Linked DNA regions of Mus musculus. The protein of the gene in region 1 purifies or fractionates together with the protein of each later gene. This does not show direct contact. Links are inferred from orthologs where the notes say so. Each region holds a gene or a part of one and is shown in the gene's direction. Other genes may lie near its edges.

Evidence for each region. Proteins that work in one complex are often made in the same cells at the same time.
Region 2: the proteins of Cbx5 (region 1) and Mbd1 purify together in Homo sapiens (affinity purification with western blotting; 3 studies listed by BioGRID and IntAct, with this or other methods). This does not show direct contact. The link is inferred for Mus musculus from reciprocal best matches to the Homo sapiens genes CBX5 and MBD1.

Annotation. Positions count from the first base shown.
Region 1 is NC_000081.6:103,205,307-103,209,272, reverse strand, and holds part of Cbx5 (chromobox protein homolog 5), read left to right. Parts: intron 1-3,594; coding exon 3,595-3,781; intron 3,782-3,966. UniProt on the Homo sapiens protein: Component of heterochromatin that recognizes and binds histone H3 tails methylated at 'Lys-9' (H3K9me), leading to epigenetic repression. In contrast, it is excluded from chromatin when 'Tyr-41' of histone H3 is phosphorylated (H3Y41ph).
Region 2 is NC_000084.6:74,266,637-74,271,310, forward strand, and holds the start of Mbd1 (methyl-CpG-binding domain protein 1), read left to right. Parts: upstream 1-1,538; 5' UTR 1,539-1,797; intron 1,798-2,766; 5' UTR 2,767-2,792; coding exon 2,793-2,902; intron 2,903-4,674. UniProt on the Homo sapiens protein: Transcriptional repressor that binds CpG islands in promoters where the DNA is methylated at position 5 of cytosine within CpG dinucleotides. Binding is abolished by the presence of 7-mG that is produced by DNA damage by methylmethanesulfonate (MMS).

The DNA of each region.
Region 1 (3,966 bases):
CCACCACACCCGGCCTCTACAGACTCTTGATCCAAAATGTCACACAGTGACAGTAAAGTCTTGGTCTCCCTCTGGAACTCTTATAGGCCAGCACTGCTGGGCTATAAGACCCTAGCTAGATTTAATGTCAACAACTCTCCCTCAAACTAACTGCAGATGATAGATGCTGTTTTCATCGCTTATTGACTTTATATTTTGCTTTTGTGGTTCATTACAGGTTACAGGTGTGATAGACACAAACAAACACGAAAAACCCAGTGCCTGCGCTCTAACAGAGCTTTGCCTCTCAGTAGGGAAAGGGATGGTAGTACAGTTTTTTCTGTGCAGGTACATTTGGTATATTTCCATTAGATCTTTTGTGTTTTGTTTTGTTTTTCAAGATAGGGTTTCTCTGTGTACCCCTGGCTGTCCTGGAACTCACTTTGTAGACCAGGCTGACCTTGAACTCAAAAAGCTGCCTACCTCTGCCTCCCAGGTGTGCACCACCACTGCCCTGCCAGATGTCTTTCTTGTGTTCATTGATACACATTGGCTTGCTGGCTAATGGGCCTCAGGGATCAGTCTGTCTTCCCATCCATAGCATTTATTTTTTCTTAGTTTTTTTGTTTGTTATTGTTTCTGTTGTTGATATTTGAGACAGTGTCCCATGTGTCTTAAGTCTGGACTCAGAGCTCCATTAGATCTTTGTAGTTTTAGTTTTCTAAAACCTGTGCTACAAATAGAAAAAATTTTTTAAAGATTTATTTATTTTATACATGTGAGTACACTGTTGCTGTCTTTAGACACACCAGAAGAGGGCATCGGATCCCATTACAGATGGTTATGAGCCACCTTGTGGTTGCTGGGAATTGAACTCAGGACCTCTGGAAGAGCAGTCAGTACTCTTAACCGGTGAGCCATCTCTCCAGCCCACAAATAGAAAATTTGGAGGTCAACTTTGAGAATATAAAAACTCAGAGGCAGCCGGGCGTGGTGGCGCATGCCTTTAATTCCAGCACTTAGGAGGCAGAGGCAGGCGGATTTCTGAGTTCGAGGCCAGCCTGGTCTACAGAGTGAGTTCCAGGACAGCCAGGGCTACACAGAGAAACCCTGTCTCAAAAAAACCAAAAAAAAAAAAAAACCCTCAGAGGCTTACATGTTGGTTCATTCTGTACTCTAGGTATTTGGAAGGCTGAAACAAAAGAATTTCAGAGAGTTCAAGACCAGCCTGAGCTACATAGTAAGACTGTCTTTAAACTCAAAGAGAAGCTGAGTATTGTGGCATGTACCATTAATTTCAGCACTCTGAGAAGTAGAGACCATTGATTCTCTGTTAGAGGTCATCTTGATCTACCTAGCAAAGTTCCAGGCCAGCCACAGATCCTGAGTAAAAATAAAATAAAAATAGGCGGCCTTTTTTCATGGAGAGAAGATATGCTAGGGATTAATGCCATGGAGCCTTGCTTACAACTGGACAAGCACCTTTACCACTGAGCTATATACCCAACTTCTAGACTGGGTTTGTTTTGTTTTTTTTAAAGATTCAATTGGGGGGGGGGCTTGTTTTGTTTGGGGGTGTTTTTGTTTTGTTTTTAAAAAGGCAGTTGGAGCCGGGCGTGGTGGCGCCCTTTAATCCCAGCACTAGGGAGGCAGAGGCAGGTGGATTTCTGAGTTCAAGGACAGCCTGGTCTACAAAGTGAGTGCCAGGACAGCCAGGGCTACACAGAGGAAACCCTGTCTTGAAAAACCAAACAAAACAAAACAAAACAAAACAAAACAAAAAACGGCAGTTGGGCAGTGGTGGCACATGCCTTTAATCCCAGTATTCTGACTTGGGAGTCAGAAGCCGGTGGATTTCTGAGTTCAAGGCCATTCTGGTCTACAGAGTGAGTTCCAGGACAGCCAGGGCTACACAGAGACCCTGTCTTGAAAAACCAAAAAAAAAAAGGCAGTTTCTCTTTGTGATCCTGGCTGCCATGGAACTTGATCTGTAGATCAGGCTGGCCTCTCCCTTGTTGGGATTAAAGGTGACTACCACCACCTGCTAATTGTGTGAGTGTTTGTCTGTGTCTGGGGAGGGCGGGTAGTATGAATACTTTGCAGGTACCTGTGGAGGCCAGAGGGCATTAGATTCACTGGAATTGGAATTACCCATGTTCAGGTCCTCTGCAAGAATAACAAGCACTCTTAACTACTGAATCATCTCTCCAACCCCCAAATTGGTAGTTTTAAATGGGTTTATTAAACTATAATTTATGTGCCTTAAGAGTCAACTACTCTAGGCAGTGGTGGCACATGCCTTTAGTCCCAACACTGGCTTTTAACCCCAGCATTTGGTAAGCAGAGGCAGGCAGGTATCTTGAGTTTGGGTTCAGTCCACAGAATGAGGTTTAGGACCGCACTCACTCTCAAAAAAATAAAAAATAGTAAAAGAGCCACCCATATCCATTGAAATTGTACAATGTGATGTTTCTTGTTTTGTTCTTTGAGACAAGGGTTTTGTCTTATTTGTTGTTGTTTGTTTTGTTTTTTCGAGACAGGGTCTGTAGACCAAGCTGGCCTTGAACTCAGAAATCCACCTGCCTCTGCCTCTCAAGTGCTGGGATTAAAGGCGTGCACTACCTACCCAGCTTGTCTTGTTTTTCGTTTTGTTTTGTTCTGTTTTGTTTGGTTTAGTTTGGTTTTTCGAGACAGGGTTTCTCTGTATAGCCCTGGCTGTCCTGGAACTCACTTTGTAGACCAGGCTGGCCTCGAACTCAGAAATCTGCCTGCCTCTGCCTCCCAAGTGCTGGAATTAAAGGTGTGCGCCACCATGCCCAGCATTGTCTTGTATTTTTGAGACAAGGTTTCTCTCCTTGTAGCTCTGGCTGTTCTGGAAACTATTCTGTAGACCAGACTAGCTTTGAACGCTGAGATTGGTCTGGCTTGTTACTGTGTGTCCATTACAGAACATTTCTTCAGTTTAATCTAAAATATATCTTGCCAGGGTATGTCAGAGAAACGGAAACAGAAAGAAAGCGTATGTTTTCTTACAAACTCAGTATACTGTTTTTGAGATTTTTCTCAATGTATTTTGTTTCTTTTTGTTGCTTAATACTATTCCATTATACAGTTGCATCATATTTTTGTTCATCCATTCATCAGTTGGTGACTGTTCAGGTTTGTTTTAGGGTTTGGCTACTAAAATGTTGCTATAGGGCTGTACTCTCTGTGGTGGAGCAGATATAAAATCCTGGTTTAGGGTTTGATCCTCAGTCCTGAAAAAAATACTGCTGCTATAATAGTTCTTTACATGACTTTTATGAACATACTTTTTCCCACGTCTCTTCTGTGAATATTGAAGATTAAATTTGTTGGATTTCTTTTTCTCTGCAGAGCTGCAGCTCAAGCCTATGGCACTGCATATGCTAGCGCCTTACCATTGAACTATACCCTAAGTATAGATTTCCTGTCCTTCCCTCACATGTCCTCCTTACAACAACCCTTCGCAATGAAAACAGCTAAGCTAAGGATGTAGTTTGCAAACACTCGCCAGTTCTGCCGAGATGGGAAGTGGGTGAAAACAGGGCATTATCCTATCCCTCATTCTTTCCTTTTGTCTTTATTTTTGTCCAGGGAGCACAATACTTGGGAACCTGAGAAGAACTTGGATTGTCCTGAACTAATTTCTGAGTTTATGAAAAAGTATAAGAAGATGAAGGAGGGTGAAAACAATAAGCCCAGGGAGAAATCAGAAGGAAACAAGAGGAAATCCAGTTTCTCCAACAGCGCTGATGATATTAAATCTAAAAAAAAGAGAGAGGTGAGCTTCCTGCTCCTGTCACTGTCCTCTTGCTCCTGCTGTGCAAACGGGGTTTAGGTTTTCTCTTCTAAGGATGGACCTTAAGGTATATTGTTAAACAAAAGCTTGCAGGGAAGTGTGTTGATTAGCTACAGTGACCCCTTCTGGCTGAGTGAGAACTAGTAGTGGTAATTGTATTTAAAGTG
Region 2 (4,674 bases), on another chromosome or scaffold:
TTCTATTAGGATTGGGAGTAGCGGCTGGAGTAGGTACAGGAACCGCTGCCTTAATTAAGACCCCCCAATACTATGAAGAACTACGTGCAGCTATGGATGTTGATCTTAGAACTATAGAACAGTCTATAACCAAATTAGAAGAATCTTTAACTTCCCTGTCCGAAGTGGTGCTACAAAATAGAAGGGGATTAGACTTATTATTCCTTAAAGAAGGAGGACTCTGTGCTGCCCTAAAAGAAGAATGTTGTTTTTATGTTGACCATTCAGGAGTAATCAAAGATTCTATGGCCAAACTTAGAGAACGCCTAGATATACGTAAAAGAGAAAGAGAAAGCCAACAAGGATGGTTCGAAAGCTGGTTTAATAAGTCCCCTTGGCTCACCACTCTCCTCTCCACCATAGCAGGACCTTTAATTACACTTATGCTTTTGCTTACTTTTGGCCCCTGCATCCTTAATAAGTTGGTAGCTTTTATTAGAGAAAGGATAAATGCAGTACATGTTATGGTACTAAGGCAACAATATCGGGTCCTCCAAGAGGTTGAAAACTGGCTCTAAGATTAGAGCTGTTTTCTAAAAGGAGTGGGGGATGAAGAATAAAGATAAAAAATTACTGAACTCTTCCTCACCCCAGAGCCCGACCCCTCCCATCTAGAGATTGTTCCCAGAACACTCCTGAACTCTTCACCCCAGAATGCATTCCTGAACTCCTCATCCTAGAGTTCGAACCCTCCCAACTAAAGACTGTTCCAAGAACATTTTTGAGATAAGGGCCTCCTGGAACAACCTCAGAATGAACCGGGTACATTGCCAAATAATAGGACATGACCCCTTAGTTACGTAGAATTCCCTTGGCAGAACCCCTTGTCCCTTGGCAGAACCCCTTAGTTATGCAAACTTGTACTTTCCCTGCCCCGCTCTCCCCCCTTGAGTTTTTCTTATATAAGCCTGTGAAAAATTTGGCTCGAGGTCGATTCTCCTCTACACCATACTAGGTGTATGAGCTTTGACCCCAGAGCTCTGGTCTATGTGCTTTCTTGCTGTTGCTTTATTAAATCTTGCCCTCTACATTTTGAGTTCGGTCTCAGTGTCTTCTTGGGTCCGCGGCTGAGTGAGGGTCTCCCTTCGGGGGTCTTTCATTTGCACACCACACCTCCTCCTTGGTTCCCAAGCAAGGAACCTGGCCAGGGTGCAGCGATCCTATTCCACAAAGAAGCGGGTACCAATCCTGAAGAAGGCAGTCACAGGAACAAAGGCGGAATGTCTCCTGGAAAAGGAAGTGGACAGGCATAACCTCGTCGTTCAGTGCTCCTGCTATTTGTGGAGACCGAAATTCGGAGTGGGCCGAGCCGGCCAGGCCATTCACGCCCCCTTGTGTCCGGAGCGACTTTGGAGCGGAGCAGCAGGGAAGGTGGAGGTGCCTGTGCACCGAGGCGCGCAGACGCACAGGCAACCGAGACCCGGCGGGCTGCGGGTGTTGTCAGTGCGCAGGCGCTGAAGATCCCCGGGAATCCGCGCGCCGCTGTGAAGCCGCAGTGCGCAGGCGCGGAGCCTCCCCAATGAGGGCACGCGTGACCAGGCTGTACACACAGCGGCTGGTCCTAGTCGGAGCCCCAAAGGCAAGCATTTGGTTTCCGGTTCCGGGAGTAAGCAACCGCCGCAGAGGCGACTGTTTTGGAAGAGGCACTGGTGGAGGAGGAAGAGAAGAAGAGTGGAACGGGCCGGTCGCGCTAGTGGGATCCTTCTCATGGGTCCACGGGCCTAGAGCGGAGGAAGCTGCGGGCCTGGTGTCAAGCTGGTGAGACAGCCGTGGGAGTGGCGACAGCTCGGGAGGAGGCTGTGGAGGCTCGGAACGCTAGCGGGGGCCCTCGCCTCCGGAGAAGGAATGACTTCCTCTGAATGTTTAAAGAGGGGACTGGGGTAACTGGACAGAAAGACCGAAGAGGAAGGGATGTGGCTCAGGGCATTGACAGCGGTGTCTAGATTCTGGGACTAGGATGGCGAGGAGTAGAAGAGAGAGAACGTTCAGAGAGTCATTGAGTCTTCGTGTTAAACAGGATAGAAATGGCGTCCCAAAGCTGATCATGCAAAGATAAGGCCTCGAGACGGGAGAAATAGTTAGAATAATGAGGGACTGGACACTCTTGGTGGACAAAAAGAAGTAGAATGTCCGATGGTTGGGAGGGAAGGCCTTGTCTTGGAACACAAAACTAGGAAATTGGGAGGCCAGGTCACTGTGGAGGGAAAAGGAAGTTTCACAAGATGATAAGAGGAATGGAGAATGGTAATACAGTTAGAGAAAGAGTAGCTAACACCGGCTGTAGGGGTGAGCAATAGAGACGCTTGGGACCGAGACTGGAGAAGAGTTGTGGGTCTGAATAATGAGGGGAAAATAAGCTCTGGGGCCAACTCTTGAACTTAAGAGGGAGGCTTCCAACCTGAGGAATGGGAAGAATGTGTGGTAATGTTTGATCCAGTGTATGGAGGAGTTGGGGGCTCTGATCCATAAATGCAGCTAGAACACCGGGAGACGTTGGAAACTCAGGTCAAGGAAAGTTTAAATGGGTGCTTAGAACACTGAAGCAGGGTCCCAAGGACCAGAGAATTAGGGACCTCTTACCCAGAATAGGAGGACCGAGTCTTCTCAGACTGAGGAAGGGTGATATGCATGTTTGGAGGAGAACAAAGAGGGAGAAACAGGTTGCTTTTGTGGCCTGGAAATACTTTGCCACTCTCCCCTATACTCTACTTTCTTTCAATCTTGCAGGCTTCTGTTCTGTCCCTGAAGCATCTATGGCTGAGTCCTGGCAGGACTGCCCAGCCCTGGGCCCTGGCTGGAAACGCCGAGAGTCCTTTCGAAAGTCAGGGGCCTCGTTTGGACGCTCAGACATCTATTACCAGAGGTAACGGGTGTGCTCTGGGCAATGTTCAGTGGCGTTGGACCTTGTTAGTAATTAGAGCAAAGGGGTGTGTTTAAATCTATGGATGGAGTTAAAATTGTGCACATAGTCCTTATTACAAGTTTTGTGTTTTCTTAATCATGTATTCCTAATAAAGTTGATTTAATTTGGTCAAAGTCAATATTCACGGTGCATTTGTGATTATTCACAGACAAACATGGAACAGCTAAGAATTTGAATTGTCTAGTGCGTGTATTCGGAATCAAAGTTAAACAAGAACTCTCTCTCTCTCTCTCTCTCTGGTTCTGTAAACTGGTCATTCTTTCTACTGTCTCTTTAGAGCCATATTTTTGTTGGCAAATGTGTTGTTTAAAATGACTCCCAAATAAAGTGCTGAATTATTTTCTAGTGTTCTGAGCACGAGAAGATTTTCTTTCCTCCTTGTCAGATAAGCTTTTCTTCCACACATGAATTGCAGTGCTGTCTGGTTGAGTTGCTGTGTTCAAAAATTAGAACTGGTCCATCCAGAACAAGAAGAACAAACTTGCTGAGATGTGTGTGAGGCTGCTCTGGAAAGAACAGAAATTGTTGTAGGCTATTTAGTCACACTGTGAACCCCCTGAGACTGATTAGACCTACTAGGAAAAAAGTCTTGTTTGTAGCTGTGGTGTGGCTCAAACTTAGGTCAAGAGGCAGAACAAGCAACCAGTTGACAGGAAGTGAACATAAGATAATTAAAATATCATAGAGAATAAGAGGTAGTCATGAGGGTGGATAGAGAGATGCACAGGAAGTAGAAGGGAGGGACTTTCAGTTTGAAGAAGGGATTTTGTGTGAGTGGGAAAAGCTTGCTGGGCTGTCAGCAGAGGAGGAAGGTCAACTGGGTGCTTTCTCTGCCTCTCTGAGCTATCGGGCTCCCAAGTCTTCAATGGTAAAATCGAATGATTGAGATTTTTGTTAAAAAACAAGAAATTACCATCTATAGTGCTTGATGAAGCTTCAGAGAAGTTGTTAAGGTAGCCGTGAACCAATGGCCTTACAGTAAAGCACAGTACCAGCATCGTTACAGGGAAAGCCAAAAATGTATCAGCCATCATTAGGGAAATGGAACCCTCTCAGCTGGTGCTGGCTGGCCTGTGTGTCTCAGAAGATGATGTGGTGGAGAAACACTGTACTTACGGTATATGTTCTGTACAGCAGGTGTCTTCAGGAAAACAACAAAACATTAGCAGACAAACCTAGATAAAACATCCTCTAAAGCCATTGGCTCTTAGTCATTAACAATCATGGAGTCATTTGTACGAAACCAGTGTTTTTAAGCAGAGACTCATAAAACAGAGGACAATTGATCAGTTGCTTGAAAATGTGACAGGCTTGCTGGAACCCACCTGTGTCTCCTGTAGGCACAGTGGTCCTTGTTTCAAAAATTCAGGGTTTGTAGCAACTTCATAATACGTAATTAATATATATAGTGAAAATTGACTGTAAATGTATCAACATTGAAGTTTATAAGCATGGTGTTATTGATGGAGCTATTAAAAATTTTCACTGTTTATTTAAGTTGCCATTGCCCTAGAAGAATGTAATAAAATTTCACAGTTTTCATTATGTTTATAACTTTTTTCACATGAGGTTATATAAAAATTTCAAAACTTCTAAATAATTGTGTATGTACATATGAATATATATCAAATTAGTAAATCGATTTGTTAGTTTGTGGATGCTGGTAGAAAATGTGATACTTCTGGGCCAGTGATAACAAAGTTTCTCACAGG